Linked DNA regions of Macaca fascicularis. The protein of the gene in region 5 binds, or shares a complex with, the protein of the main gene of each other region. Links are inferred from orthologs where the notes say so. Each region holds a gene or a part of one and is shown on either strand. Other genes may lie near its edges. The genes, in order: YAP1, NOTCH4, SIRT3, RELA, SFN, MAPT and ANPEP.

Region 1 (4,184 bases), on a different chromosome or scaffold from region 5:
AATAAAGAAATCATAACAAATTACACAATTTTTAATGAAAGCAACAAATTTGAACTGCCCAAATGTTCTTAAAAGCCATCTACAATGAACAAGATGAAAAAAACTCAACTATATATTTGTATGTAGAAGATAATGAGGTTATCAGTCCAATTATAACTTAAGAACTCACAGACATTCACAACTCTATACAAGCAGAAAAAATTCTGCATTCAGACCCCAAAGATCTGAGTTCCAGTCTAAGCTGGCTAGTGTGACACTGAACAAGTATGTTAACTTCCATATGCCTGTTTTCTCGTTTGTAACATAGTTTTCAAGACAGAAAAATGGATGTATATAAAACAACTTATAGTCACCAGTTTGTGTTGTGAACAATAGTATTCACAACCTACATTCTACTATTCACAATCTTGCATAGTTTTTAAAATGTGTCTAATTAGAATTAAGAGTTTGATTATCAAAAAGTTAGAATTTCCTAGATTCACAAAGGTAAGGAAACCGGAAGGACTCAGTAGAGTCATTAATGCCTTAAAGTGATAGACCTTTCTGAGTGTCCCATCAGAATAAGTATGATTTAGAAAATCACTAGCAGAAATAAAAGTCCAATTTACAGATGAGCAACACTTAGTTAAAAACTTATTAAAAGCAAAACTGTAATAGTTTATGAATTTTAGAACTGCTGGATATAAATTCTTGTAAAAATTACCTACTAGAAGAAAAAGTACACTTTCCAGTTGTGACTCTTTGTCACAAAATGGGGGATCCAATCTATGTGTAGTATACTTTGAAAAAATACCGTGTAGTCTGCAGGGTGCATGCCAACACACATTTACTTACAATGAGTCCATAAACCAACTTCCAGGGGTAAGAAAAAAAGCATACCTAAGTCTATTTCTGACAAATTGAACTGTTTAGGCAAGCAGCTAAATTGTTTTTCCTTCCTTCCTCCTCCTTAACCCGGGTTTTTGTCATCAGGTTAAGTGAGTTTTTCTGAGTTCCAAAACCCTGTGGTCTCTGACAGAAGAATATACAACAGGCCCGCAAATAGGACAGAGGATGGGAGTGGGGGCGGTAACTCTTCTTTCCACTCAAGTTACAGCCCGAGTAGGCTAACTACATTGCAGTATTTGGAAAACCTATTAACTTTTGGGCAAAGTTCCTATGCTGAAGTTTAGCCTGAAGCAAGTTCTTTAAAAAAAAAAAAAAGAAGAAAAAAGAAAAGAAGGAAAAAGAGAGAACCCTACACTAAACAAAACCACTGGGACCTATCGGAATGTTAACACTCTCATTATAAATAGTTTCACTTCTATGCTGAATCAAGCTGGCAAAATAATCGAACGTTGTGTATGTGGAAAAGCAGCCATGTTCATATCCGCAATAAGAATTAAAAAGCAATGGCGATCCTAGAATTAGTCATCGCTTCCCAAACATTAACTTTTAATCACAGTTGAACTAGGCAGGACTTGGCCTATGAGTCAACCCGCAGTGTATTATCAAAGGCTTGTGTTAAAACCTCGGTACTGTAAAGCGCAACTCAGTTCCTGCGCAACGTACAGATGTGGCTAATTCAAAAGCTTTTCAGCCGACTGTAAATAATAGCCTACGATCGGGAAACCAACACGCAACCTACTAAGTTTGATAAGAGCGAGCCGACCCAAGTTCCAAGACACAAGGGAAGCGCAGGGGTGAAAGAACTCCATAAACAACTTCCAGGAAAGTCTGGGCAGGGGAAGCCCGAAACCTGTATTCAGAAATCGCCTAAGCCGCGAGGAAAATAAATGCTTACGGGAGGGGGAGGCAGAGGGGGAGGGGAAATGGGTAGGGGGGAGGGAAAGAAAGAGCAAAAAACTAAATGGACCGGTTCTACCCCCACCTCTAATCAACACTGGAAAACAAGAGAACAATTATTTGACTCCCCCAGGAGACTGAAGTGGACCGAGAGGCCGCAAAGGAAAGGGGCCCAGGGCTCAACTTCACAAACTCGGCCGCCGCTGGCAACTCACCCACACACAAATGCCAGAGGCCCCCCTCCCCCTTTCCCGGCCCGGCCCCGGCGGGAGCGAAGGTGCGGAGCGCGCGGAGGCGCGCGCATTGTGCAAGCCCACCGCGGCCCAGGCTCGGCTCTCCCCCACCCCCTTCCTTCCTCCCCACCCCTCCTCCACTCCCGCCAACCTCCCGGGAACCCCGGGAAGAAAGAAAGGAAGGAGGGAAAGCACGCCCCCCGGGGCCGCAACCGCAGAAAGAAACTCCGAAAGGAAAAACAAATCTCAGCCCCGGACTCTGGGAGGAGTGGGGAGCTGGTCACCGCGGCCGAGCGGACGACTCCAGTTCCTCCACTTCGCCGCGGGACCCCCACCCCAGCTAGAGCTCCCGCAACCCCCTCCCCTGGCCAGAGCTGGCGGCCGCGGCTCCCGAGCGCCCCCCCGGTCTGAGGCCCGCCCGACGGGGAAGCGGGGAGAGGGGCGACAAGGTTACCTGTCGGGAGTGGGATTTGGGCTCCGGCGGCTTGAAGAAGGAGTCGGGCAGCTTCCGGAGCCTCATAGGCACGGTCTGGGGCACGTTAGCCGTCTTGGGGTTCATGACGGCGTTGAAGAGCGCCTCCAGGTCGGTCTCCGAGTCCCCGCGGACGTGCACGATCTGATGCCCGGCGGGGGGTGCCTGCGGCGCCGCCTGGGTCGCCGCGGGTGCTGGCTGCCCGGGTCCGGACGGCGGGCCCTGCCCCTGGGGGGGCTGCGCAGGCGGCTGCCCTTGGCCCTGGGGGGCCGGTTGAGGCGGCGGCTGCTGCCCGGGATCCATGGCTTCTGCCTCCCCCGACGCGCACCCCCTAAACCAGGCGGGCGAGGGCTCCGCCCGGACGCCCCGGCTCCACAGGCCGAGGTGGAGAAGCGGCGACGGCTGCGGGCCGGGCGGTGCTGGGCGGCGGGAGCGACGCTCTCCTCGCTCTCAGGGCCGGGGGGCTGCGCCGCGGCCCCGCATCCCCCGCCCCGGCGCCTCCGCCCCCGCCCTGCGCCCCGGCTCCACTGGTCTGGCGGCTGCGCCTCGGGAGGGGCTGCGAGGGACTCGGACCTGCGGCGCCTGAGAACTTTTTCCCTCCAACTCCCTTGACGGAGGCCGGACAGCTCGTTGCCTTTCCCCTCCTCCCCCTTTCTCTTTTATTTCCTTTTCTTGTTCCTTCCTTCCTCCCTTTCTTTTCCCTGGCGGCGGCTGCGCCCGACTGAGACAGAAACTCGCCTCAGACGCCAAAACTAAAGTTGTGAGAAGCGCCCGCCCGCGCCGCCGCGGCCCCGCCTCCTCTCGGCTCTTCCTTCCTCTGCGCGCCCGCCCGCACCGCGGCCCGGCCGGCAGCGCAGGGAAACTTTTCGCTGCAAGTTGCTACATTCCTGCACACTCCCAGCCCTCCGCGCCTCTCCCGGTCGCACGTGACCCGCTCGCCCTGGTCCGGTCCGCCCTTCGCCCGCGCTCAGCCCGGCAGGGGCCCGGAGCGTGCCCCGTGTTCTACGCCGCGAACCACAAACGCTGGGTCCATTCCGAGGCCGAAGTGTGGTCTCTGCGGAGAACGCGGCCGCCCTTGGCCCCAGAAAGTCCTTCCGCCCCGCTCGGCTCCTTTTCCCGGCCCGTGCTCGGGAAAGGCGCTTCCAGCTCGCCTGGACTTGCGAAAGGACGAAGGCCGAAAGAAGTGGAGAGAGGATGTGCGAACCCACCTCCTCCTCCCCGCGTTACCCCGGCTTGACCGAGCGGAGCGCCAGTGCGGGCTTAAAGCCGCCAGGATAGATGGGAGTTAAAATAGATACGGTGAGCCGGCGCTGATGTTAATAAAGGTCCATTGTTTTCAGCATTAACTTTATTTTGTAATTCTGTTTCACTTATCTGTTAGTGTGCGAAAACTCACTTGAAAGGGTAAACGGTTACTGTAATTGAAGCTTTGAGACCAGGTCTGTGAGTCAGTGTAACTTAGTAAAAGAAACAAAAACACTACATTTTCTAAATAGTGAAATCACATCAACTGTTTTAGTACTCGAGTTTGCAACATAGTCACTGGAAGCCTCAACCCAAAAAAATCAGTGCTTCTTCAGGTACAAGCATTCATTCCTCTGTACCTGCCTTTCATCCTCAGGGAGCTGGGTGCCTACCCCTGCTATCCCTGTGCCTGGCCCAAGGGTGGACTCCGTTAATGTGGACTGAATAAG
Region 2 (4,202 bases), on a different chromosome or scaffold from region 5:
AAGGAAACTGAAAGGACTTGACAACTAAATGCAATGCAGGATGCCAAATGAGATCCTGGACCAAGGGAAAAAATTGTCATGAAGGACATTATGGGGCAATGGGCAAGACCTGAATTTGGACCGTCAATTAGTATCACATCAGTCTAAGTTTCCTGATTTGGATAATTGTACTGTATTATGTAAAAGAATGTTTTGTTCTTAGAAAATTCGCACTGATGGATTTAAGGGTAAAGGGGTATCTTGTATGCAACTTACTCTCAAATGGTTCAGAAAAAAATACAAATGTGTATTTATAGAGAAATAATGATAAAGTAAATGTGGTCAAATGATGTTAGTGGATGAATCTGAGTGAAGGGTATCCTGGAATTCTTTTTAGTATTCTTGCCCGTTTCCCATGAGATTTAAAGTATTTCAAAATAAAAAACTAAAAAAAAGGAAGAAAGCGGTGTGAAGTATGTTCCCTGGTAGGGGAAAGTTCTCAGGTACACCAGCGGCAACCATGAGTGCCTCAACACCAGGGAGAGCACAGCTGCCAGTGACACCTTCTGCCACCCTGGACTCTCAGTTCCCTGTGCTACTAGAGGAACTCGGTGTGTGGTTGACCCCAAAGTTGTCCTGGGTTGACTCAAGAAAATAGGATGAGCATTTGGAGGCAAAGAATTCGCTTTTGTGATTTTATTTACTCCAGTTTTGCATTCTGACTGGCATTCCCTACATCCCAAGGACGTCTGCAGTGGAGGGAGGCAGAGATGGAGGAAGTGAAAACTACCCAAATTCAGTGATAAGTTACAGATAATCCAGACTGCAAAATTTAGGGTACACTATGTTCATTTATCACTGATAACGACAGTCTTAACATTCCCCTATACAGGAAGACCAAGATTTCCCCAAACCAGCCAGCATCTTGCCCGTTCCCCAGAAGGAGAAAAATAAGTCCTGGCAAGAGCCAAGATAAGGCCCAGAAGCCCCCTGGGTTCCTTTTGCCAAGGTGAGTGGTTTCAAACTATGACAAGTTGCGGGTTCTCTGATAAGCATCTGTAATAACCTAGCAAATTAAGCATCCTCTCCTGGGAAGGGGAATACAGAACTCTCTAACCACCCAATACCTGTTTCCAGATCCTGCCCCTCCTGGGGCACAGGGGCAGCCACCTTGCAATTCTCATCCCTAGAAAGGAGAGACCAGATCAACAAACAGCAGGGCTGGGACTGCCCCGGGGGTTCCGAGAGTCCTTCTCCCCTCCTATCACCTGCCCTCCAGGCACACTGTCCTACTTCCCCCTACTTCCCCAGGGGTTGTCAGGGACAGAAGGCCCCTCCTTCATCCCCCCTAGTGTTCCTCCACTCTTCCCCCGCCCCCCATTACTAGGGTGTCCAGGACATTGTGTGACTCAGGAAACAGCTCAGACGTGAGGCTTGCAGCAGGCCGAGGAGGAGGAAGAGGGGCAGTGGGAGCAGAGGAGGTGGCTCCTACCTCAGTGAGGGCTCTGAGGGTCCCCGCCTGAAGAGGGACAGGGACCTGGGCTTGGAGAAGGGGCTCTGGAATGCAGCCCCCTTCACTGCTGCTGCTGCTGCTGCTGTTATGTGTCTCAGTGGTCATAACCAGAGGTGAGGCATGGCGTGGGTGAGGTGGGGGACCCATTTCCCATAGGAGGATGTCCAGTGGGGTGGGGGAAGAGGGCCAAGCCCCAGGTTGTGTGAGGGACGCTGGGTGGAAGAGATTCTCACTGCCCAAGTAGAGACGGCCTGCAGGGAAAAACGGCTGTGCCCGTGGACCTGCTTTGGGCCTGGTGCCAGGGGTAGTGACTGCCGGGGGATGGGTGAGAGGGTGCCCACCTCCAGGAAGAACCTCATCAGCATTAGCACTGGAGGACTCTTGCAGCCATAGGGAAGAGGGGAAGAGGGAACACACTGACCACCTGCTTGGGGAAGAGATGAGAGGGAAGCAGGAGATAAGGACATGAAAGGTCAGGCCTACTAAGTCCCTTTCTGAGTCCAGCTGTCCCCACCCCCCGGATGGCTTAATGCTGGGCCTTTCCGGGAGGAAATCTCTTCGAAGTCTCAGCCATTCACCTCCCGGGAGCCACCTCCGCCCCCCCTTCTGACCCCTGTTGTCTTGCTTCCGAGAGATGGAGTCCGAGGCCGGACTCAGGAGGCCAGAGAATAAACAGGAAAGGGGGGTGGGGATTAGTAACTGGGATGGAGGGCACTGGGGCTGGGGCTGGGTACCATGTGGAGAGTGGGGACAGGTGTGAAGAAGAGGTGGTTTAGAGCACCTGTGGGAGCTGCTGCGGGCAGGTCTCTCAGGAGCACCCGGAAGAGGAAAGGTGGAGGCACAGCACCTAGGGCTTCCATCGCGCTTGCCTCTCCACCCTCAGGGCTGCTGTGTGGGACTTTCCCAGAACCCTGTGCCAATGGAGGCACCTGCCTGAGCCTGTCTCTGGGACAAGGGACCTGCCAGTGAGTGTGCCTTGCAGGAGTGGGAGACTGGAGAGAAAGGGGGAGGGAGAGGGCGGGGGGAGAGGTGAGGAAGTGAGACCAAAGAAGAAAGGGAGGAAGTGAAGGAGATGAAGGGAAACGAATGAAGGCAGAGGAGGGAGGTGGGCGAGAATGGGAAGAGGGACCAGTGATGTGAGTTTTCCTCTCCTCCCCTGCCCAGGTGTGCCCCTGGCTTCCTGGGTGAGACGTGCCAGTTTCCTGACCCCTGCCAGAATGCCCAGCTCTGCCAGAATGGAGGCAGCTGCCAAGCCCTGCTTCCCGCTCCCCTAGGGCCCCCCAGCTCTCCCTCTCCACTGGCACCCAGCTTCTCGTGCACTTGCCTCCCTGGCTTCACTGGCGAGAGATGCCAAGCCCAGCTTGAAGATCCTTGTCCTCCCTCCTTCTGTTCCAAAAGGGGCCACTGCCACATCCAGGCCTCAGGCCGCCCACAGTGCTCCTGCATGCCTGGATGGACAGGTAAGCGCTGCTGGGGGCAGCCAGGAGGGGACAGGCAGGAGCAATGGGCTAGGCTGTGGGTGGGGAAAATGGAACTGGAGCCTGAGAAACTGCAAGCCCTTTGAAGACAAGCCATGAGAATCAACATGCCAATTCTCCACGACCCACATTCACCAGCAGGGTTGTACTGATAGCTAAAATGTTAAAATATTTCCAAATTAAGGGTGCCATGAGCCCCCTTTGTGCACCATCCTGATGCCTATCCTAGCCCCCTTAATCTCCCTGCTGCCTAGCAGCTAGAGGGTCATTGCTCGGCATACCAGGGGTCTTCCAGGCTTTTGCATTCTGAGCATCTGAATGGCTCCCATTCTGAGTGGAGGGAGCCATAATATCACCTGGGAAGACTGCAGTGGTGGGAGAGGCACCGGGAAGGGAGGGATGTGACCCAGAGAGAGGAGTGGGGCCACCCCAGGAGGAGGAGTGTAACCCTGGGGCAAGTTTAGTGCTTCAGACTAGGGGCTCTGCGACAGCCCCTGGATCCAAATGCCAGCTCTGCCACTGACCAGCTACATGACCTCGTATAAGATATTTTAGCTTTCTGGTGTTCAGTTGTCAGCTGACAAACAGGGAGAGTAATGGTCACACTTCATAAGGTTGCTGAGAGGACACAAGGGGCCGATGCTCAGGAAGTGCTTGCTCAGCTCAGCACCTGGCACCTCCACGGCGGCCGCCATTACCACTGGTGCGCATGGACTGTGAAGTGAGTCTCCAGGTGCCTAAACCCACTTAAAGATGAGGAAACCAGGATCAGAAAGGCAAAGTGGCTCACCCAAGGGTATACAACCAGTTGTGGCACAGCAAGGTGCCACCTGAGTCTCCTGTCTGCAGACGTGGGGTGCTTTTCACCTCCCCCCAGATCACCCATGTGCCAGATTTTCTCAGGCAAGGACAATTTCCAATACTCTCATCATCACTTTAGAAGATATGGTCGCTCCAGATAAACCCTCCCAAACCATGGCAACACTGAGATCAGGGGTGATGGAACAGAGCAAAGAGAGTATGGTAATAAAGCGAAGGAAATATGAAAATGAGACCCAGAGATAATCCAGAGTGAGCACTGGGTAACCTCAGATGGGCTAGAATTCACACAGTGCTAGAAACGGCTCCCTCTGTCCTCTGCCTCAGGTGAGCAGTGCCAGCTTCGGGACTTCTGCTCAGCCAACCCATGTGTTAATGGAGGGGTGTGTCTGGCCACGTACCCCCAGATCCAG
Region 3 (3,500 bases), on a different chromosome or scaffold from region 5:
GAAGTGAAATGAAAATGGCCTTTTTCCTTATTATAAGTACCATGTGCGTCTTTGAAAAGATTCATACAGGGCCGGACACAGGGGCTCACGCCTGTAATCCCAGCACTTTGGGAGGCCGAGGCGGGCGGATCACGAGGTCAGGAGATCGAGACTATCCTGGCTAACACGGTGAAACTCCGTCTCTACTAAAAAAAAAAAAGATACAAAACATTAGCCGGGCGTGGTAGTGGGCGCCTGTAGTCCCAGCTACTTGGGAGGCTGTGGCAGGAGAATGGTGTGGACCAGGGAGGTGGAGCTTGCAGTGAGCTGAGATCGCGCCACCGCACTCCAGCCTGGGTGACAGAGAAAGACTCCGTCTCAAAAAAAAAAAAACAAAAAAAAAGAAAGAAAATATTCATACATTATATAAAGATATAAAGCAAAGAATCAACTTTTTAATCCCACCAACTGTTAGCATTTTATTCTGTGTCCTCTCAGGTTTCTTTTTCTGTACAAATGCACACGTACAGATGGTAATTTTTAACTAAAAGTTGGACAGCACTGTACATTCTATTCTGCAGCCTGCTGTTTTCATGTAACAATGTGAGTCCATGGAGATCTGCTGCCTTGTTAATGCTGACAGTTTCCCTTATACGGATATGAGGTCCCACCTGAGAGGCCCATGTCTGTAAACACGGTGCCATCGTGAACTGAACGAGCTGGTGTCACGCATGGACTCTGTCTCATGTGCTTTGTGGACGAAATATTAATGTGTTTGACTATGGAGTACCACTCCGGATCCCCTTTAGGTGTGACATAGTATGTGGGGTGTAAACCATATGATCTTTTTTAAAATCTCAAAAATTCTGAAACATATTCAGCCACAAGAGCTTTAACATAGATTTTGTGGATTTAATACAAAGTTTATGTAAGCAATTTCTTACTGATGGACAATGACAATAAATTGTATATAATTTTTGTATTAAAAGTAATGCTGGGCCAGGCACTGTGGCTCACACCTGTTATCCCAGCACTTTGGGAGGCCAAGGCAGTAAGATTGCCTGAAGCTAGGCATTTGAGACCAGCCTGGGCAGTATAGTCAGACCTCATCTCTACAAAAAATAAAAAGATAGCCAGGTGCGGTCTGTGTAGTTGCAGCTATTTGAGAGGCTGAGGCAGGAGGATTGCTTGAGCCCAGGAGTTTGAGGTTATAGTGAACTATGATCATGCCACTGCATTCCAGCCTGGGCAACAGAATGAGATCCCACGCTGTAGCAAATATCCCTGTGTGTCACCCTGACCTACCCATGCAAGTGCTCCTGAAGGGTAAGTGCTGATAAATATTGAGAACTTGCCTTCCAGAAAGATGTAACAATTACATTGCCACAAACTGTGTTTTTGTGTAGCCATTTTCTCACATCCTCACCAAAACCAAAATCACACAAATCAAATTGGTTAAAAAATGCATGTGTGTGTGTGGAGGGGGGTGTGGATTTTGCATTTCTGTAGTAAAGAATGAAATTCATCTTTTCATGTTTATTGGCCAGTTGTGTTTCCTCTCTTTGGATTGTATATTTATATCTCTTGTCCATTTTTCATTGGGTCATTGTAAATTAGCAATATAAATTAGTTTTAATTTTAATAGAAATTAAATAATATAAATCAATTTTAAGGTTAATATAAATTTCTTTTCTTTTTGTTTTGAGACAGAGTTACGCTCTGTCTCCCAGGCTGGAGTGCAGTGGCACGATCTCGGCTCACTGCAACCTCCACCTCGCAGGCTCAAGCCATTCTCCTGCCTCAGCCTCCCGAGTAGCTGGGACTACAGGTGCCTGCCACCACGCCCAGCTAATTTTTGTGTTTTTAGTAGAGACGGGGTTTCACCATGTTGGCCAGGCTGGTCTTGAACTCCTGACATCAGGTGATCCACCTGCCTTGTCCTCCCAAAGTGCTGGGATTATAGGCATGAACCACTGTGCCTGGCTATTAATAGAAATGTCATTATAAATTAGTTCATACATTATATGTTTATAAATGAGTTTATCAATTAGCAATATAAACTATTGTCATATGTTGTAAATATTTTTGCAGTTTATGAGAGGTTTTTAAAAATTTTTAATTTTCTACATAGTAGTTTTATGTAGATACTGATGTAATAGTATTTACATAGTCAGATCTGTCATTTTCCTTTGCCTTATCTGACTTCAGTTTTCACATCTAAAATGTTTTTCCCTATCCTTACTTGTAAACTCTCAGTTTTCTTCAAGAACTGTTTTGTTTACATTGAAACCTTTAATCCATTTGAATTTTTTTCAATGGGAGGTAGGAATGGAGCATTTTCCTCCCAGATAATGAGCCAGTTTTAATGCCATTTATTAATGTGTCCATTTTTTACCTTGTTCCTCTTAAAAGACGCTTTGAGAGTTGTATGAAGAAGCCTGATGGCACCGAGCTAGGCCTCTCTAGAGGCTGGGTGGTGAAGACCATGGAGAGACGTAACAGTAACTCCTGCTTGGGGGCACCAGCTTGTCTGGGTGCCCGATGCTGGTGGTGGCTGTCACTGCAAGCAGGGCTAGCCAGAGGAGATGGACGAGTCTGTGCTGTCGTCCCTCTGTGGCATGCGGAGACAGCGAGCTGGGGAGGACAGGGAGAACAGAACGTGCTCACAAAGAGGAGGTAGGAAGGTTGGATCCCTGGTGAGCCTTGGAACGGAGGTGGGGAGAAGCAAGGATGTGTGGAAGCAGCAAGGAGTGGAAGAGAGGGAGGCTGAGGGGAGGAAAGAGAGTCACTGAGGCCAAGCGGCAGGAGCTCAACTGAAGAAATGAGATTGGTGGTGGGTTTTCTGTGTATCGCCGGGTCTGACTGCCAGTCTGCTGCTCCTCCAAGGCCTCAGTGGCTATGGCACGAAACATCCTGCGGGGCTTGTAGGGTGGACACTGTACCCTCACATTTGGGCCATTTTTCAGGTGGAGCCTTTTGCCAGCTTGACCGAGGCCGTGCGGAGCTCTGTTCCCCGACTGCTCATCAACCGGGACTTGGTGGGACCCTTGGCATGGCGTCCTCGCGGCAGGGACGTGGCCCAGCTGGGGGACGTGGTTCACAGCGTGGAAAGGCTAGTGGAGCTTCTGGGCTGGACAGAAGAGATGCGGGACCTCGTCCGGCGGGAAACTGGGAAGGTACAGACGCTGAGGAGGACCATCCAAGGGGCTGCCCTCCTCACTGCTCTAGGGTGTGCTCCATCTGGTATGGAGCCCCACTGGCTAACACGGTAACAGTCGTAACCGATGATGCTGTGAATCCTGCACCAGGCGCTACCTGGACCTGATTGGGTATTACTTTCAATAACTCCATTTAGAGATGAAGAAACAGATGGTAACAGGCCAAGCAGGGACACGGTCCAGACACTCAGGGCTGATGAGTCTGTACTCTTAACAGACTGTAGGCGTTATCTTCACTCCCTAAAGTAAAGCAGCCAACAGTGTTCCTCTAAGGCCTGGTATGTGATTCTGAGATGATACGGG
Region 4 (4,231 bases), on a different chromosome or scaffold from region 5:
GCCTGTCTCAAAAAATAAATACATACAATACAATACAATACAATGCAGAATTCTGCACGGTGGTGGTCCCTTAAGTTTTGCAATGGGTACACGGGTGTTTATGGTATTAATTTAAAAGTTATAAATATACAAGAATTTTAAGAAGAGGATCCATGCAAGGTTTAATGATAATTGTATGTCATCCATTCGCTCAACTGAAGTCGGCCTTCCCCGCCCCCTGCCAAAAGTAAACACTTTTCTAATCAGGGCCAGCCACTGGAGAAACTGAAATGAGTGGGCGGGGTGCTAACTCTATTTTCACTTTTCTCTTCCTGTTTCTTCAGAGCCTGGGAAACAAGTCAGAATTTCCAATCTTTTCCAATTCCCACATGATTTCCTAATTCAAGACGAATTCAGAGAAAATAAGTCTTTCTCCATCTGGAGAAGACTCCGCCCCCTGGAGCATCCTCCTTCGGGGATGAGGCCTGAGGTGGGGCTGCGCCAGCCCCAGCCCCCACAAGGACGCGCCTTGGGCTTGGTCTTGGGGGAGCTACCCGCACTGTGGGGTCACATGACAGAATTAGTGGTCAGCCCTAGCTGGAGGTCCAGGGCAAACACAGGCGGGGGCAGTGGGGTTGGGGGTTGTGGCCCTGCTGATTCGAGTGTCCCCTGTGGGTTCCGGACCTTCTGAGATACAAGCGCCAGGCTTCAGAGACGAAGCTCCGGGGTTTACCCCTGGGGACCCCCTGCTCCTGCAGCCGCTGAGGGCCGGCAGTTTGGCTGCATAGTAAGCTGGCGCTTTAGCTGGAGAGGGACGAGCTCTCGGCCAGCTCGCCAGCGGGAGGGCCTCAAGTTGTCCCATCCGGGCTGCAGGCTCCGCAAAGCTCCCTGATGCACTGTCAGAGGGGGAGGTCCGGCCGCTCCCCTTCCCCTACAGCCGCATCTAGAGTGGGGTAGGTTGGACATTTTAACGTGCTTCTGAGACAGTCACCACCGAAAGGCACCTTTAGCGATGAGGAAACCGGCGTGGAGTTCAACCACCCGGCCTCTGCGGAGCAGAAGGCCCGACTGGGCCTTTCCCTGCGCGGGGCGGGCGGCCGCAGCCCCGTAGCCCGGGCTTTGCTCCAGACCCGGCCCAGAGTGACATCACCAAACTCCGCCGATCGGTGGGAGGGGGCCCTGAAATCCCCTAAAAACAAAGTGAGTAATCGGCGGACCCGCCCTCCAGGCGGGGCCGGGACCCGGGAGCTAGCCGAACCACCGGGCACACCAGCCTCTTCGTCCCCGGCGACGCGCGCACTTGGCCCCGGCCCCCGGCAGCGGCTGTGCGCGCGGCCTCTTCGTCCTCCGCGCGGCGCGCACTTGCTCCCGGCCCCTTCGCCGGGCGGCGGCGGGGCAGCGCGCAGGCGCGGCCGGATTCCGGGCAGTGACGCGACGGCGGGCGCGCGCGGCGCATTTCCGCCTCTGGCGAATGGCTCGGCTGTAGTGCACGCCGCGGGCCCAGCTGCGACCCCGGCCCCGCCCCCGGGACCCCGGCCATGGACGGTGAGGTCGCCCTCTGACCCCGCGGGGTGGCCGCGCCGGGACCGCCCCGGCTGTGGCGGGAGGCCCCGCGCCGCTTTCCGCCCCTTCCTGCGCCGACTGGCGCTGCGCAGGGAGCGGTCGGCCTGCCGGATGGTGGCGCGGGGCGGGGCAGGCGGGGAGGGGTCTGACTCAGTTTCCCCTCTGGGTGGAGGGGGGCCCTTGACTCAGCATCCTCCCTGGGTGGGGGAGCAGAGGGAGCCTTGACTCAGTTTCCCTCCACACCGTCCATGGGGGCAGCTCTGGCTTCGTTTCCCTATTAGGGGAGAACGCATCTGATTCAGTTTCCTCTCTGGATGGAGGTGGGGCGTGCCCTCCCTCAGTTTTCCTTATGAAAGTACAACAGGCCCTGATTCGGCTTCCCTCGGGAGAAGGATTCCTTACCCCGTTTTCCCTCAAGAAGCAGGTGTTTCTGGTTCCTTTCCTCCACTCCTTAGTTTCACCGCAGGTTCTAGGAAGCAGGTCCTTACTCAGTTCCCCTGGGAGGGAGCCTGGCTTCTCTTCTCTGTGGAGAGCAGATACTCCCTTGTGAGGATGGGCAGTGGGTGTGTGCTGACCCTGATCTCCCTCCCCTTTCAGAACTGTTCCCCCTCATCTTCCCGGCAGGTAAGTGGCCCCCGCAGCGGTCCGGGAGGTGTTCCCTGGGGTAGGGCAGCGGGGGCAGCTGTCTAATGGGCCTGCGGTGTCCCCTGGCAGAGCCAGCCCAGGCCTCTGGCCCTTATGTGGAGATCATTGAGCAGCCCAAGCAGCGGGGCATGCGCTTCCGCTACAAGTGCGAGGGGCGCTCCGCGGGCAGCATCCCAGGCGAGAGGAGCACAGATACCACCAAGACCCACCCCACCATCAAGGTCAGCACTGCACCAGGGTGTGCGGGGAAGGGACTGTGGAACCCCAGCCCTCTGTGTCTGGGAGTCAGGTTTGGATGTCTGGGCCTCTGTACTTTGGACAGATCAATGGCTACACAGGACCAGGGACAGTACGCATCTCCCTAGTCACCAAGGACCCTCCTCACCGGCCTCACCCCCACGAGCTTGTAGGAAAGGACTGCCGGGATGGCTTCTATGAGGCTGAGCTCTGCCCGGACCGCTGCATCCACAGGTGAGCTCCCTGCAGGCTAGGAGGCCCAGCATGAGGGAACAGGAGGCGGGCTATGAAGTAGCCGCTACAGTGTTACTCCTTTCTGGACACAGGGCAGAGTTGCTTACTTCTTGCTCTGACTCAGCTCTGCAAGTAAACTCTCTTTGTCTTGAAATGATCTATTTGTACCTCTACTCTAGCACAGATAAGAGCTCCAAGGGATATGGATGGGTCCCTAATCACTTCTGAATCCCTGACCCCTGTAGCTGGAAGGACAAGTCCCTTGGAGTCATGTCTCTTGTTTGAGAAAGAAAACCACTGAACCAACACTCTCCCCTGGAGGTGACATTGCAGTTGACAGAAACAGGCCTTAAAAAAATATACAGGCCAGGCATAGTGGCTCATGCTTATAATTCTAGCACTTCCGGAGGCCAAGGCAGGAAGATCTCTTGAGCCTGGGAGTTCAAGACTAACCAAGGCAACATAGTGAGACCCTATCTCTACAAAAAAATAAGAAATTAGCTGGGTATGGTGACTTGTGCCTATAGTCCCAGCTACTTGGGAGGCTGATGTGGGAGGATCACCTGAGCCCAGGAGGTCACCGCTATGGCAAGCTATGATTACACCACGACACTTGGGTAGCAGAGCGACACCTTGTCGTGTTTTTTTTTTTTTTTTTGAGACGGAGTCTTGCTCTGTCCCCAGGCTGGAGTGCAGTGGCGCAATCTCAGCTCCCTGCAACCTCTATCTGCCGGGTTTAGACCACTGTCCTGCCTCAGCTTCCCAAGTAGCTGGGACTACAGGTGCCCGCCACCACGCCCAGCTAATTTTTTTGCGTTTTTTTTTTTAGTAGAGAAGGGGTTTCACCATGTTAGTCAGGATGTTCTCAATCTCCTGACCTCATGATCTGCCTGTCTCAGCCTCCCAAAGTGCTGGGATTACAGGTGTGAGCCACCGCACCCGGCCCAACACCCTGTCTCTTAAAAATAAATAAATACACAGATAAATAAACAAGGTGCTGTCAGAGTAACAATTTCAGTCCTGAAAATAAAACAAAGTCATAGGATAGAAGGATAACCTGGGGTGGGGGAGTTACGGGAGCTGGTGTGATGACTTTAGATTGGAAGGTCAGGGAAGGCCTCCCTCCTTGAATGGTGAGAAGGAGGAGAGAAGTAGGAAAAGAACATTCCAAGCCGACCAAACAAGTGCAGAGGCCTTGAGGTGGGAATGAGTGTCCTGTGTTTAGAGAATGGAAAAGAAGCGCCTGTGGTTGTAAGCAGGGAGCCCACGGGGAGGCTGGCAGGGGCGGGGGCACGGAGGTGCTTGTCAGCTGAGGGAAGGGACAGGGTTCATTGCAGCACAGTAGGAAGCCACTGGAGGGGGTCAAGCATGGAGCGATGGTCTGGGGGTGGGTGGGGGAGGAAGGAGCAGACTGGGCAAGGCAGGAAGGTCCGGGCTGTGTGAGAGACAGTGGGACAGATGGCTGGGGGTGCTCAGTTTCCAGAACCTGGGAATCCAGTGTGTGAAGAAGCGGGACCTGGAGCAGGCTATCACTCAGCGCATCCAGACGAACAACAATCCCTTCCAAGGTGAG
Region 5 (3,014 bases):
CTTTGGGACGTGACCCTCTCCTAAGATCTGGGCTTTTATGGCGGCACTGCACCCCTGCCTCAAATCGTACTTCCCTCCGCTGAGATCTGAGCCCTTGATGAGACTGTGACCCGCCTGTAAATCGGGTGCTCAGTGCCGCTCACTACTGCAGCGCTGTCCTTAGATCTCATGCCGGAGACTTCACTATTTCCTGTCCCGCTCCACCTGAGCTCGTCAGCCTCCCGCGCTGCGGCTCCCACTCACCTCCCCTCGGCCCTGCAGAGGAGGCTCGGCGCCTCCTGTGGGTTCACCTGACCCTCCCGGTCCCATCCAGTTTGACTGGGGCCGCCCTGATGGAGACAGCCGGACCCCGGCCTCACCTGGACTCAAAGTCTTGCGTGCAGGTCACTGAGCCACCCAGGGAGGTCAGGGCCCTAACTCAGAGGTCGAAAGTCAGGATCTCTAAATCAGATTCCAGTTCCACTCCCAACCCATCGCCAAGAACTGGAAAGAGACAGGAGGAGTGTCACAGGGGAACTTTATTGAGAGGAAACATGGTCACACCCAGCAGACATGCTTTCCTTCAATGTCGGTCTTGCACTGGCGCGCGCGCGCACACACACACACACCCATCTCCGGCCCCTGCCACTGTCCAGTTCTCAGCCACAAGGCGGGACATTCCTCAATTCCTACGACCAGAGGCAGCAGGGGCAGGAGTGAGGCAAGAGGGAGGGGAGAAGTAGCCTGGTCCTGGGGTCGGGAGGAAGCGGTGCGGAGAGCAGGGCTGGGGTCATGACCAGTGGTTAGGTGCGCTCAACAGCTGCAAGAAGAGTGGGATCCCCAGCCCCAGGTGGCCTCAGCTCTGCCAGTCCCTCTCCACGGAGCCGTTTGGAGTAAGAACAGCGCCTGGGGGAGAAGGGTGGGGCCTCCCACCCCATATTAGTCCTCTCGGCAGGGTGGGGGACTGAAGGGGGCAGGGCAGGGTGGGGCGGTGGTGGGCAACACTCAGCTCTGGGGCTCCTGGGGAGCCTCGCCCCCCTCTTCCCCGGCGTTGTCGGCCGTCCACAGCGTCAGGTTGTCTCGCAGCAGCTGCATGATGAGGGTGCTGTCTTTGTAGGAGTCCTCGCTGAGGGTGTGCAGATCAGCCATGGCCTCATCGAAAGTGGTCTTGGCCAGCGAGATGGCCTCCTCGGGGCTGTTGGCGATCTCGTAGTGGAAGACGGAAAAGTTCAGGGCCAGGCCCAGGCGGATGGGATTGGTGGGCGGCATCTCCTTCTTGCTGATGTCCATGGCCTCCTGGTAGGCTGACCGGGCTGAGTCGATGATGCGCTTCTTGTCGTCACCAGTGGCCACCTCGGCCAAGTAGCGGTAGTAGTCGCCCTTCATCTTCAGGTAGAAGACCCTGCTCTCCGCGTCCCCAGCCTCCTTGATGAGATGGCTGTCCAGCAGGCCCAGCACGGTGTCGCACACGCCCCGGAGCTCAGTCTCCACCTTCTCCCGGTACTCACGCACCTCGGGGCCCTTCTCCTCCGAGCCCTCCTCATTGCTTTTCTGCTCAATACTGGACAGGACCCTCCAGGCAGCCCTCTGGCCGCCCACCACATTCTTGTAGGCTACTGAGAGCAGGTTTCGCTCTTCGCAGGAGAGCTCCTCACCTTTCTCCACGGCGCCCTTCATGAAGGCTGCCATGTCCTCATAACGTTCGGCCTGCTCTGCCAGCTTGGCCTTCTGGATCAGACTGGCTCTCTCCATGGCTCTGGGGACACACAGGCGGGCGGCGGGCTAACTGCTGCCTGGGACCAATGCCGGACTCTGTGCCTCTCCTGCTCTTGGCCTGCCTTTTGGCTGGGTGGCCAGGCCCAGAGAAGGGTGGGGAGGAGCAGGGGGCGGGACCAGGGCCCAAGACCTGCCTCCCTCTCCTCTCCTCCCCACACCCTTTCCGGCTCTGCAGTCAAGGTAAAAAGGCTGGGATGTGGGGGTGAGTCATCAGAACAGTCAGCAGAAGAAATCTGGGCGTGGGCCCCACCTGCACAGGCACCTTTCCAGGCTCTAGGCTGCCCCCTCTTGTTCGGGGCTGGCATCATATGGCTGCTCACATCAGGAAACTGCCTGGCTTCTCAAATCAGATCCTCCTTCACAGCGTCCTTACAGAGGCTAAGGGCGGCTTTAGCCCCTGGCTGCTTCTGCCTCGACAGAGCCCATAAAGGTTCAGGAGGATGGGGTTCCCAATCCTGCCAGGTAACTTCTCCCCTTGATTCAGGTGAGGATAACTTATGTTTAGGTAGGGCCATAGAGTTTCCCAAGCACTTTCATATTCACCATCGAATTTAATCCCCACTGTGTCTCTGTGACACACACAGGACCACAGAGATGGGAACACTAAGTCTCAGAGAGGGGTGAGATTTGCTCAAAGTCACATAGCCACCACTTCCCTGAAACTCCTTTCTGCACCCTGCTTCCTTTAGCTTTTCTCCCGTTGAAGTCTCTGACCTATGAGCTCCAGGCTGTGTTTGGAAGTGAGATCCAGGCTCTTTCTCAATCTACCTGAAGATGGTTCCATCCCTCAGGCCTCACTCCCCCTCAGGGTCCCCTCTGAGCTCCCAGAATGCGCAGGTGGCAGCTTTCAGAGTGCCACTTAATGAAGTGTTTAACAAGCAGCCTCTGACGCTCCAGCCCAGCCTTTGTAATTAGTCACCCAGTAGGTTTGTTGGACACATTTCCCATCACTACACAATTTTCCCTTTCAAGTTGGTGGCCTGTTGCCACTTGTTTGAGGATTTACCCTCTGGCCCTCCACACCAGGTCACTTGCCCTCTCCAAGCCACATGCCATCAGGTACCAGTGGGGTTCACAGAGGGTGGGGTCCAGCTCCCCGGCTGTCCCACTTTCCTGCCTGACTCAGACTGCTCTCTGTCTGAGGCTGGGAAGCAGTCCAGTTTGATCCCCCAGGGGGGACGCTAGCAACCTGGGGAGAGAGAGGACTGAGAAAGGGAGGTGGCAGTGACACATACCATTCTGTTTTATGGGGCAGCAAT
Region 6 (4,246 bases), on a different chromosome or scaffold from region 5:
TTCAAGGTTGCCATGAGCTATGACTGTGCCACTGCACTCCAGCCTGAGCAAGACCTTGTCTCCAAAAAAAGGTCAATTCCATTGACTTTTCTAAGGTGTACACCATCAAGGGGCAGTTCCATCCCCAGGCCATTGGCTCATGAGACATTCTGAAGTCAGAAGGCTAGGGCAGATCGCTTTCAGCAAGCCCCCACGGTGGTTCTCACTCCTACTTCTTTGGATATATGCCCCTCTGTTTAAAAATAAAGTTAATATGGATAAAAAAAAAAAGAAAGAAAGAAAAAGGTCAGTTCCAGAAACTCAGTGTGAATAAAGCATTTTACTTGCTTTTTCTATTAATCTATAACATATGTTGGTTTTTAAAAAATAATGTAAGAACCATGCAAATTGGAGCTTCAAGACAACTTCCCATCTCCCTAGGAGGAGACGGCTGCCCTAAACCCCCATACATAGAAATCCGCCCACTGCCAGGGCTTAAATTTGACGTTGGGGAAATGAAAAATCCAAGCTAAGGCCGAAGCTTGGGGCCTGGGTGACCAGTAGAATGAGGACCACTGGTCAGTTTCAGGCTGAGATGCCTCTTCCAGGGGACAATCTCCAGCTGGCCCTTAAACATTCAGACTTCAAACTCTACTTACAGCATAAAGATGTTTCAAAAGACGTGATACAAATAACTGTGTGTGCAAATGTTCTGCGATGTGTTAAGCACTATTTCAATTTGGTCTAATTTAAGATTTCTTTTCTAGCGTCACGGTTACATACATCATAGATCCAAATACTTTTTTTTAAAGTACAGTTCTACTGTATTGTAACTGAGTTAGCTTGCTTTAAGTGAATTTGTTAAGGAAAGGATTCACCTTGGTCAGTAACAAAAAAGATGGGAAAAAAGCAAGGAGAAAGGAAGCAGCCTGGGGAAAAGCGACCTTAGCCAGGGGGGCGATTTCGGGACTCGGAGGGTCGGGGTGGGCGGACTGGGGAGCTGGCCACGTGGAAGGTCGCTCAGGACCTCTCCAGGAGAGGACACCGCCTCAGGCTGACTGAAAGGAAAGGGGCAGGGGACCCACTGGCGGAGTCACTGGCCTTGCCCCGACCCCGCAGGGCCCGAAGGAAGACACCCACCCCTCCAACGAGACAAAGGCTCCAGCTATGGGAGGCGGAGAGTGCGCGTGCGCCATGGAACGCGCGTGCGCGCTGCGGTCAGCGCCGCGGCCTGAGGCGTAGGGGGAGGGGCACCGGGAAAGGGCAGCGCCGAGAGGAACCAGCCGGGAGGCGCCGGACAGCCGAGCGGCAGGGCGCTCGCGCGCGCCCACTGGTGGCCGGAGGAGAAGGCTCCCGCGGAGGCCGGGCTGCCCGCCCCCTCCCCTGGGGAGGCTCGCGCTCCCGCTGCTCGCGCCTGCGCCGCCTGCCGGCCTCGGGAACGCGCCCTCTTCGCCGGCGCGCGCCCTCGCAGTCACCGCCACCCACCAGCTCCGGCACCAACAGCAGCGCCGCTGCCACCGCCCACCTTCTGCCGCCGCCACCACAGCCACCTTCTCCTCCTCCGCTGTCCTCTCCCGTCCTCGCCTCTGTCGACTATCAGGTAAGCGCCGCGGCTCCGAAATCTGCCTCGCCGTCCGCCCCTGTGCACCCCTGCGCCGCCGCCCCTCGCCCTCAGCCTCCACAGACTGGGGCTTCGTGCGCCGGGCATCGGTCGGGGCGACCGCAGGGCCCCTCCTTGCCTCCCCTGCTCGGGGGCTGGGGCCAGGGCGGCCTGGAAAGGGACGTGAGCAAGGGATGCACGCACGCCTGAGTGCGCGCGTGTGTGTGTGCTGGAGGGTCTTCACCCGCTTCGCGCCGACCCCAGGTGGAGGCCGTGCCGGCAGGGTGGGGCGCGGCGGCGGTGACTTGGGGGAGGGGGCTGCCCTTCACTCTCGACCGCAGTCTTTTGCCGCAATGGGCGTGCGTGGGGGGGAGGGGTCCGATAACGACCCCCGAAACCGAACCTGAAATCCGCTGTCCCTGCCGCTGTTCGCCATCAGCCCTAAGGAAGATGTGGATCGGGTTCTAGAAAAGATGACTGACTCCCTGCACGCCCCTCCCTTTACCTCCCGAGCAGTGATTCCGACAGGGCCTTCACTGCCCCTGATTTTAGGCGGGGGCCGGCCCCCTCCCCTTTTCCTCCTTCAGAAACCCGTAGGGGACATTTGGGGGCTGGGAGGAATCGAGGAGATGGGGAGGGGTCCAGGCGCTGTCACTTTAGTTGCCCTTCCCCCTGCGCACGCCTGGCACAGAGACGCGAGCAGCGCCGTGCCTGAGAACAGTGCGAGGATCCCAGTGTGCACGCTCGCAAAGGCAGGGGTCACCTGGCCTGGCGATGTGGACGGAGTCGGCGGCCGCCGGTCCCCGCTCGCGGGCAGGCACAGCAGCAGCCATGCACTGACGGGCGCGGGGCTGCAGGTGCATCTCGGGGCGGGTTTCTTTCTCAGCGCTCCGCGCGCAGGGTGCCCGGCGTGTGCGCTCCCTGCCGGAGGCGCGGGGCTGGCGCGCAGGGCTCGCCCCTCACTGCGGCAGTGGGTGTGGATCCTGGTGGGCGAGGAGGGGGGAGGATAGGCTGTGCCTCCTCCCACTCCCGAGGTGCCATCTTTTTTCGGCGTGTCACGTCTTTACGGTGCCATGCCAAACCGGGTGGCCGGGCTTCGTAGGACAGGGCGGGGCCTGGCATTAAAGGGAGGGGGACAATCAGCGCTGAAATCTTGGCGTTTTGCTGCTGCGGGCGTGAGCGCTGGGGGCGTTCACCCAGCACCTTCTTCGGGGGCTCTTTGCTTTGTCTGTAGAGGTTACGTGATCTGCGCTCCCAGCCCTGGTTTCTGGCTTTTATTCTGAGGGTGTTTAGCCAACCTCCCCCCACCCCCAAGCACCTCTTTCCTTTTTCGTTCCTCATTTCCGAGCCCATTGTTGGATCTCGAGGCTTGCTGGGGTCGACGAACCCGAGTCAACCCCCCGACCCCCGGCACGCATGGAACGGGCGTGACCGCGCGCAGCCTCGTCTCGGAGTCTGCGGGCGCCAGGAAGCTTCTGAAGGGATGGGATTCGAGTCTCCGTGCTGCGCTGCGGGCGGCGGCAGAGGGATCACGCCCCTCCCAACACCCCGAGTGTCCTGAGGGCCAAGCCACACCAGGTTGCCCAACGAGGGACGCTGGCTACCCATTCGGGGATGGGTGGGGAGCCCCGGTGGGGCCTCTCCAGCTTTACGCCCTGTTGCTTCGCCTGGCGGGAGAATGTGAGGAGGGGGCATAAGGTTACTGGTGCTGCGGCCACACCCATTTTTCTGAGCCCACTGGAGGGGGCACAGAGGGGGAATTGCCATGGGAACCACAGGCGTCCGGAGAGGGGACCTTGGGGCTGGCCCCACCCCTTCCCTGGGGAGATTGGGGACCCTGGGGTAGGCGGGGCCGCGCCCAGTTGGCCTCCTGGAGGACACGGGAGGAAGCCCCCAACCCCTGCACCTGAGACTCTAATTGGCCTCTGGCGGCCGCAGATAGGCAGCCCTTGGGTGTATTTTTATTAATATTATGTCTGTACTGATTAATATTATTTATCGTAAATGCGGGATTTCACCCGTATCCAAGTTCACCGTACCCCCAAAACCGAGTCTGGGGCTGCAAGGAGAACTCCTGGCCAAGGCATCCGAGCCTCGCCCTCCTGTGATGAACCTGGTACGCGCCGTTTTCTGGTTAATTCTATCGCTGAAAACTGGTGCGGGGGGGCGCACTTCTGAGACGAACGAGCATCTAGGAGCTGAATCCTCCACGCGGGCTGCCCAGGTTGATCTGAATTTCCGGGGAATGGCTTGACTGGGGAACTAGAGCCCGCCCGGGACCAGGCTGACCTTCCTCGACGGTGGCGTCGAGGGCTGGAGCCTGAGTGCTGCGAGGCTTCCCGCATGGCTGAGCCACCGCGAGGGGTTGCAGAGCGGCTCAGGGGTCAGTTCAAGCATCTTCTCTCCTCCCTCGCCCCCAGACAGAGCTGGGCGCGGGATTCCGGTTCCAGATGGAGTGAGGGTCTCGGGACGGCCCTGGAAAAGGGGAGCCCACGGTCAAGGCTGCCTATTGCCATCTCGAGCAGAGATGTCACCTGCTGCCGTTGGAGGAAAGGGAGCCCGGTGGGGATGAGCGCATTTAGCCCAATGCTGGGAACAAAGCACAATCCGCGCTTCTGCGATTTCGCTCCATTTTGAAATGTGTTGGCGCTTTGGTTGGGCCACTGC
Region 7 (4,133 bases), on a different chromosome or scaffold from region 5:
CCACATAAATGATGAGAATGGCTTTGACAAGTGCATCTTGCGATGGGGGAATGTGAGTAAATTGGATGTGGAATGAGGTCAGGCGGTGTCGAGGTCTGAGAAACTGGGCTGGTGGATGGGGAAAGTGACAATGAACATAATTTTCCTGTAAGGTGTGTATTTTATTGAGTATGGTAAGCAATATCTTCATTTCTACCAAGGATAGAAAGAGGCAATCATTGAGCTTTGGGTAAAAAAGAAGGGAATGATTTTTTTTTTTTCTTTTGAGTCGGAGTCTCGCTCTGTTACCCAGGCTGGAGTGCAGTGGTGCGATCTCAGCTCACTGCAACCTCTGCCTCCTGGATTCAAGCAATTCTCTGCCTCGGCCTCCTGAGTAGCTAGGAATACAGGCGCTTGCCACCACGCCCAGCTAATTTTTTTGTATTTTTAGTAGAGATGGGGTTTCACCATGTTGGCCAGCCTGGTCTTGAACTCCTAACCTCGTGATCCACCCACCTCAGCCTCCCAAAGTGCTGGGATTACAGGCATGAGCCACCGCGCCCAGCCGGGAATGATTTTTAATCATTATACTATTTGGTGTTTAATGTGTTTTCTCATTAAATCTGTTCAACAAACCTGAGAGGCAAATACTGTTATTTATTTATGAGGAGAGAGGTTCAGAAGGGTAAAGTTACCTGCTCAAGGTCACAGCTGGAAAGAGATGAAGCCTTCAGCAAAAAAGCAAAACAACTCAATTCATTTTATTCCGTGAGCTGATAATGGAGGAAAAAGTATTTGGCAAGAAGGGGCAGGGAGGGGAACCTGGAGGAACTCCGTGCTCTTGAAGAATGAAAGGGAGGCTGGGACCTTGTCACTGAGGAGCTCCTGGCATCCTTCCAGAGATACAACCAAAGGGGTGACCCCAGTGTGTTCTTAATAGGAGCCAGGAACCCTTCTCTGTGCACCTCCCATCTCTCGCCTCTGGGAAGTCCTTTCCTGACTCTAACCTCAGTTCTGATGCTGTTCCCACCCTCTCAGCTCTCAAGCAGATCAATGCAATGCCACCTGGCCACTTGCTCTGCCTGCTGGGCCCTTAGCCGGCAGCCTGCCCTTCAGCCCTCAGGCCTGATCCCAGGCTGCCTGCAGCCTGTAACCAGACACTGTTTGCTTCCAGCAGGCACCCCCAAGCCCAGCTCTACACACTGTTCCTGGATCTTCTCTCCCCAGGCAGAGTGTGCCCCTGCCCAGTCCAGTGACCTTCGCCTGTTGGAGCCCTGGTTAATTTTTGCCCAGTCTGCCTGTTGTGGGGCTCCTCCCCTTCAGGGATATAAGCCCAGCCTGGGGCTGCTCCGTTCTCCGCCTGGCCTGAGGCTCCCTGAGCCGCCTCCCCACCATCACCATGGCCAAGGGCTTCTACATTTCCAAGTCCCTGGGCATCCTGGGGATCCTCCTGGGCGTGGCGGCCGTGTGCACGATCATCGCACTGTCAGTGGTGTACTCCCAGGAGAAGAACAAGAATGCCAAGAGCTCCCTCGAGGCCTCCACCACCCCGTCTGCCTCAGCCACCACCAGCAACCCCACCTTGGCCACCACTTTGGACCAAAGCATACTGTGGAACCGTTACCGCCTCCCCAACACGCTGAAACCCGATTCCTACCAGGTGACGCTGAGGCCGTACCTCACCCCCGATGACAGGGGCCTATACATTTTTAAGGGCTCCAGTACCGTCCGTTTCACCTGCAAGGAGGCCACCGACGTCATCATCATCCACAGCAAGAAGCTCAACTACACCCTCAGCCAGGGGCACAGGGTGGTCCTGCGTGGAGTGGGAGGCTCCCAGCCCCCCGACATCGACAGAACCGAGCTGGTGGAGCCCACTGAGTACCTGGTGGTGCACCTCAGGGGCTCCCTGGTGAAGGACAGCCAATATGAGATGGACAGTGAGTTTGAGGGGGAGTTGGCAGATGACCTGAAGGGCTTCTACCGCAGCGAGTACATGGAGGGCGATGTCAAAAAGTGAGTGTCGGCTGGGCTACCCGGTGGGGTGGATCCGAGGTGCCGAGGCAAGGCTGGATTCTGAGGGCCAAGGAAGGACTTAACTTGCAGGCCTTTGAACCCTGTGGAGCCCGAGGCTGGCCCATTGCTTCACCTCCAGCTGCTGGCAGAGCAGCTGCCAACACACCAAACTGGGAGGGCTTCCCCACCCCTCACCAGGAAGCTGGGGATGAGGGACGGAATGTCCCTTGGACAGGCAGGAAAACTGAGGCTCAGAGGAGAGAAACTCACCAGAGGTCCCTGAGAGCCTGCTGGCACCCCAAATCCAGAAGGAGCCCCAACCCCCACCAGTCAGCTGGCTTGGCAGGGCTCTGGAGGCTCCCAGGGGAGGCGGGAGCGGGAGCAGGAGAAGGGGTTAGGCTGGGGCAGCCTTCCATGTACCCCTTTCCCTGCATGACTGGTAGCATCCTCAGATCCCCTCCCATACCCTCAGCCCTGGCATACCCTCTAACTTTTTGGTTGGGGCAGGGTGGTGGCCACAACACAGATGGAGGCCCCAGATGCCCGGAAGTCCTTCCCATGCTTTGATGAACCGGCCATGAAGGCCGAGTTCAACATCACGCTTATCCACCCCAAGGACCTCACAGCCCTGTCCAACATGCTTCCCAAAGGTGAGTGGGCCCTGCCTGAGGCCACACGGCCAGGGGGCAGGCACGCTGGGGCTGGGGTATGGGGCAGGAGGGTGCATCCTCACACACGCATGCTCTGTGCCCAGGTCCCAGCACCCCACTTCCAGAAGACCCCAACTGGAGTGTCACCGAGTTCCACACCACGCCCAAGATGTCCACGTACTTGCTGGCCTTCATTGTCAGCGAGTTCACCTACGTGGAGACGCAGGCATCCAATGATGTCTTGGTATGAGGCTGGGCCCATCTCTCCTTCACCTGGGCTGGCCCTGGCTTGAGGGGTCTTCCTGTTCTCTTCATCCCTGTACCAATTTCTGAATCGTTAGGCCAGGGTTTGAATCCCAGCTCTGAGTGATTTCGGGCAAGTGTCTTGTTCTTTGGTTCTCTATTTCTGCACCTGAAAAGTGAAAACAATGGTTTCTCCTCATGAAGGGAGTTCTGACCCGCCAGTACCAGACAGACGGTGGCTATGATAATTGGTATTCTCCAAAGGCCCTTCTCTAGGACCCACAGCTTCCAGGCCCCCCTAGTGTTCCTTCTGCTGACCAGGTCTCTAGGTTTAGCTTGATTGACCCCCAGCCCTGGCCCATCGGGGATCCCCCTGGCCCACTGGGCCCTGGGACCCAGCCCACCTGCCCCAGGATCAAACAGGGGCCCCTGGCCTGCTTCTTCCTCACACCTTGCAGATCCGGATCTGGGCCCGGCCCAGTGCCATTGCGGCGGGTCACGGCGATTATGCTCTGAACGTGACAGGCCCCATCCTTAACTTCTTTGCCAGTCATTATGACACACCCTACCCACTCCCAAAATCAGGTGAGTGGGGGTCCTCGAGGAGGGAGGCAGTGGTTGGAATTCCACTCCCGGAGGCCATCCTGCCAATGGCCTCGCCTCCCCAGACCAGATTGGCCTGCCTGACTTCAACGCCGGCGCCATGGAGAACTGGGGACTGGTGACCTACCGGGAGAACTCCCTGCTGTTCGACCCGCTGTCCTCCTCCAGCAGCAACAAGGAGCGGGTGGTCACTGTGATTGCTCACGAGCTGGCCCACCAGGTAGACCCCCATCTCGGGGAGTGCAGAGAAGGAAACGGGGGCTCCAGGAGGAGATGGTGCAGGTCCAGGCTCCGCCCCAGGCTGCTGAGAAGGGAGGAGGGTGCCGCCTGACAGGGCAGCAGGAAGGGGTCACGATGGGGTTGGTGAAATCCCCACTGTGCCTGGCAGGTGGCCAGCCCTGGGGAGGGTAGTTCTGGGGACTCTCAGTGCCTGGCCTGGGCGTGGCTTGCCCAGCTGACCCCTCCCCCCACAGTGGTTCGGGAACCTGGTGACCATGGAGTGGTGGAATGACCTGTGGCTGAACGAGGGCTTTGCCTCCTACGTGGAGTACCTGGGTGCTGACTATGCAGAGCCCACCTGGAACTTGGTGAGCAGCTGCCCTGGGGTCCAGTCGGGGGGTGTGGAGGGAGACCTGGGCCACC

The links.
Region 1: the proteins of SFN (region 5) and YAP1 are in contact, whole or in part, in a crystal structure (PDB 6G6X), measured with the Homo sapiens proteins. The link is inferred for Macaca fascicularis from reciprocal best matches to the Homo sapiens genes SFN and YAP1. Residues at the interface, in NP_006133.1 of Homo sapiens: Lys11, Glu14, Cys38, Glu39, Asn42, Leu43, Val46, Lys49, Arg56, Lys122, Arg129, Tyr130, Gly171, Leu174, Asn175, Val178, Glu182, Leu218, Leu222, Asp225, Asn226, Leu229, Trp230; in NP_001123617.1 of Homo sapiens: Ala125, His126, Ser127, Ser128, Ala130, Ser131, Leu132, Gln133.
Region 2: the proteins of SFN (region 5) and NOTCH4 are in contact, whole or in part, in a crystal structure (PDB 7OR3), measured with the Homo sapiens proteins. The link is inferred for Macaca fascicularis from reciprocal best matches to the Homo sapiens genes SFN and NOTCH4. Residues at the interface, in NP_006133.1 of Homo sapiens: Lys49, Arg56, Arg60, Lys122, Arg129, Tyr130, Glu133, Gly171, Leu174, Asn175, Val178, Glu182, Leu218, Gln221, Leu222, Asp225, Asn226, Leu229, Trp230; in NP_004548.3 of Homo sapiens: Arg1914, Arg1915, Phe1916, Ser1917, Ala1918, Gly1919, Arg1921.
Region 3: the proteins of SFN (region 5) and SIRT3 are in contact, whole or in part, in a crystal structure (PDB 8ANC), measured with the Homo sapiens proteins. The link is inferred for Macaca fascicularis from reciprocal best matches to the Homo sapiens genes SFN and SIRT3. Residues at the interface, in NP_006133.1 of Homo sapiens: Asn42, Ser45, Val46, Lys49, Arg56, Lys122, Asp126, Arg129, Tyr130, Pro167, Gly171, Leu174, Asn175, Val178, Tyr181, Glu182, Leu218, Ile219, Leu222, Asn226, Leu229, Trp230; in NP_036371.1 of Homo sapiens: Arg99, Arg100, Ser101, Ile102, Ser103, Phe104, Ser105, Val106, Gly107.
Region 4: the proteins of SFN (region 5) and RELA are in contact, whole or in part, in a crystal structure (PDB 7O6I), measured with the Homo sapiens proteins. The link is inferred for Macaca fascicularis from reciprocal best matches to the Homo sapiens genes SFN and RELA. Residues at the interface, in NP_006133.1 of Homo sapiens: Glu14, Tyr19, Leu43, Ser45, Val46, Lys49, Asn50, Gly53, Gly54, Arg56, Lys122, Arg129, Tyr130, Gly171, Leu174, Asn175, Val178, Glu182, Ile219, Leu222, Asn226, Leu229, Trp230; in NP_068810.3 of Homo sapiens: Ala43, Gly44, Ser45, Ile46, Pro47, Gly48, Arg50, Ser51.
Region 6: the proteins of SFN (region 5) and MAPT are in contact, whole or in part, in a crystal structure (PDB 4FL5), measured with the Homo sapiens proteins. The link is inferred for Macaca fascicularis from reciprocal best matches to the Homo sapiens genes SFN and MAPT. Residues at the interface, in NP_006133.1 of Homo sapiens: Asn42, Ser45, Val46, Lys49, Arg56, Arg60, Phe119, Lys122, Arg129, Tyr130, Glu133, Gly171, Leu174, Asn175, Val178, Tyr181, Glu182, Ile183, Ile219, Leu222, Asn226, Leu229, Trp230; in NP_058519.3 of Homo sapiens: Arg528, Thr529, Pro530, Ser531, Leu532, Pro533, Thr534, Pro535.
Region 7: the proteins of SFN (region 5) and ANPEP are in contact, whole or in part, in a crystal structure (PDB 7AEW), measured with the Homo sapiens proteins. The link is inferred for Macaca fascicularis from reciprocal best matches to the Homo sapiens genes SFN and ANPEP. Residues at the interface, in NP_006133.1 of Homo sapiens: Asn42, Ser45, Val46, Lys49, Arg56, Lys122, Arg129, Tyr130, Gly171, Leu174, Asn175, Val178, Glu182, Leu222, Asn226, Leu229, Trp230; in NP_001141.2 of Homo sapiens: Ala60, Ser61, Ala62, Thr63, Thr64, Leu65, Asp66.

What each region holds. Positions count from the first base shown.
Region 1 is NC_088388.1:101,116,948-101,121,131, reverse strand, and holds the start of YAP1 (transcriptional coactivator YAP1), read right to left. Parts: upstream 2,794-4,184; coding exon 2,473-2,793; intron 2,095-2,472; exon of another isoform or gene 1,628-2,094; intron 1-1,627. Other genes in the region: uncharacterized protein, read left to right, coding at 2,792-3,020, 3,078-3,727. UniProt on the Homo sapiens protein: Transcriptional regulator with dual roles as a coactivator and corepressor. Critical downstream regulatory target in the Hippo signaling pathway, crucial for organ size control and tumor suppression by restricting proliferation and promoting apoptosis.
Region 2 is NC_088378.1:139,487,097-139,491,298, forward strand, and holds the start of NOTCH4 (neurogenic locus notch homolog protein 4), read left to right. Parts: upstream 1-1,402; 5' UTR 1,403-1,541; coding exon 1,542-1,605; intron 1,606-2,375; coding exon 2,376-2,457; intron 2,458-2,656; coding exon 2,657-2,952; intron 2,953-4,116; coding exon 4,117-4,202. UniProt on the Homo sapiens protein: Functions as a receptor for membrane-bound ligands Jagged1, Jagged2 and Delta1 to regulate cell-fate determination.
Region 3 is NC_088388.1:100,355-103,854, reverse strand, and holds part of SIRT3 (NAD-dependent protein deacetylase sirtuin-3, mitochondrial), read left to right. Parts: intron 1-2,945; coding exon 2,946-3,155; exon of another isoform or gene 3,156-3,500.
Region 4 is NC_088388.1:8,704,989-8,709,219, forward strand, and holds the start of RELA (transcription factor p65), read left to right. Parts: upstream 1-1,431; 5' UTR 1,432-1,517; coding exon 1,518-1,524; intron 1,525-1,997; exon of another isoform or gene 1,998-2,139; coding exon 2,140-2,166; intron 2,167-2,256; coding exon 2,257-2,408; intron 2,409-2,509; coding exon 2,510-2,658; intron 2,659-4,134; coding exon 4,135-4,226; intron 4,227-4,231. UniProt on the Homo sapiens protein: NF-kappa-B is a pleiotropic transcription factor present in almost all cell types and is the endpoint of a series of signal transduction events that are initiated by a vast array of stimuli related to many biological processes such as inflammation, immunity, differentiation, cell growth, tumorigenesis and apoptosis.
Region 5 is NC_088375.1:208,247,659-208,250,672, forward strand, and holds SFN (14-3-3 protein sigma), read right to left. Parts: upstream 1,796-3,014; 5' UTR 1,732-1,795; coding exon 985-1,731; 3' UTR 501-984; downstream 1-500. UniProt on the Homo sapiens protein: Adapter protein implicated in the regulation of a large spectrum of both general and specialized signaling pathways. Binds to a large number of partners, usually by recognition of a phosphoserine or phosphothreonine motif.
Region 6 is NC_088390.1:67,473,562-67,477,807, forward strand, and holds the start of MAPT (microtubule-associated protein tau), read left to right. Parts: upstream 1-1,446; 5' UTR 1,447-1,579; exon of another isoform or gene 1,580-2,020; intron 2,021-2,266; exon of another isoform or gene 2,267-2,522; intron 2,523-3,032; exon of another isoform or gene 3,033-3,157; intron 3,158-4,246. UniProt on the Homo sapiens protein: Promotes microtubule assembly and stability, and might be involved in the establishment and maintenance of neuronal polarity.
Region 7 is NC_088381.1:74,267,736-74,271,868, reverse strand, and holds the start of ANPEP (aminopeptidase N), read left to right. Parts: upstream 1-1,333; 5' UTR 1,334-1,378; coding exon 1,379-1,995; intron 1,996-2,502; coding exon 2,503-2,645; intron 2,646-2,749; coding exon 2,750-2,889; intron 2,890-3,346; coding exon 3,347-3,473; intron 3,474-3,556; coding exon 3,557-3,711; intron 3,712-3,964; coding exon 3,965-4,078; intron 4,079-4,133. UniProt on the Homo sapiens protein: Broad specificity aminopeptidase which plays a role in the final digestion of peptides generated from hydrolysis of proteins by gastric and pancreatic proteases.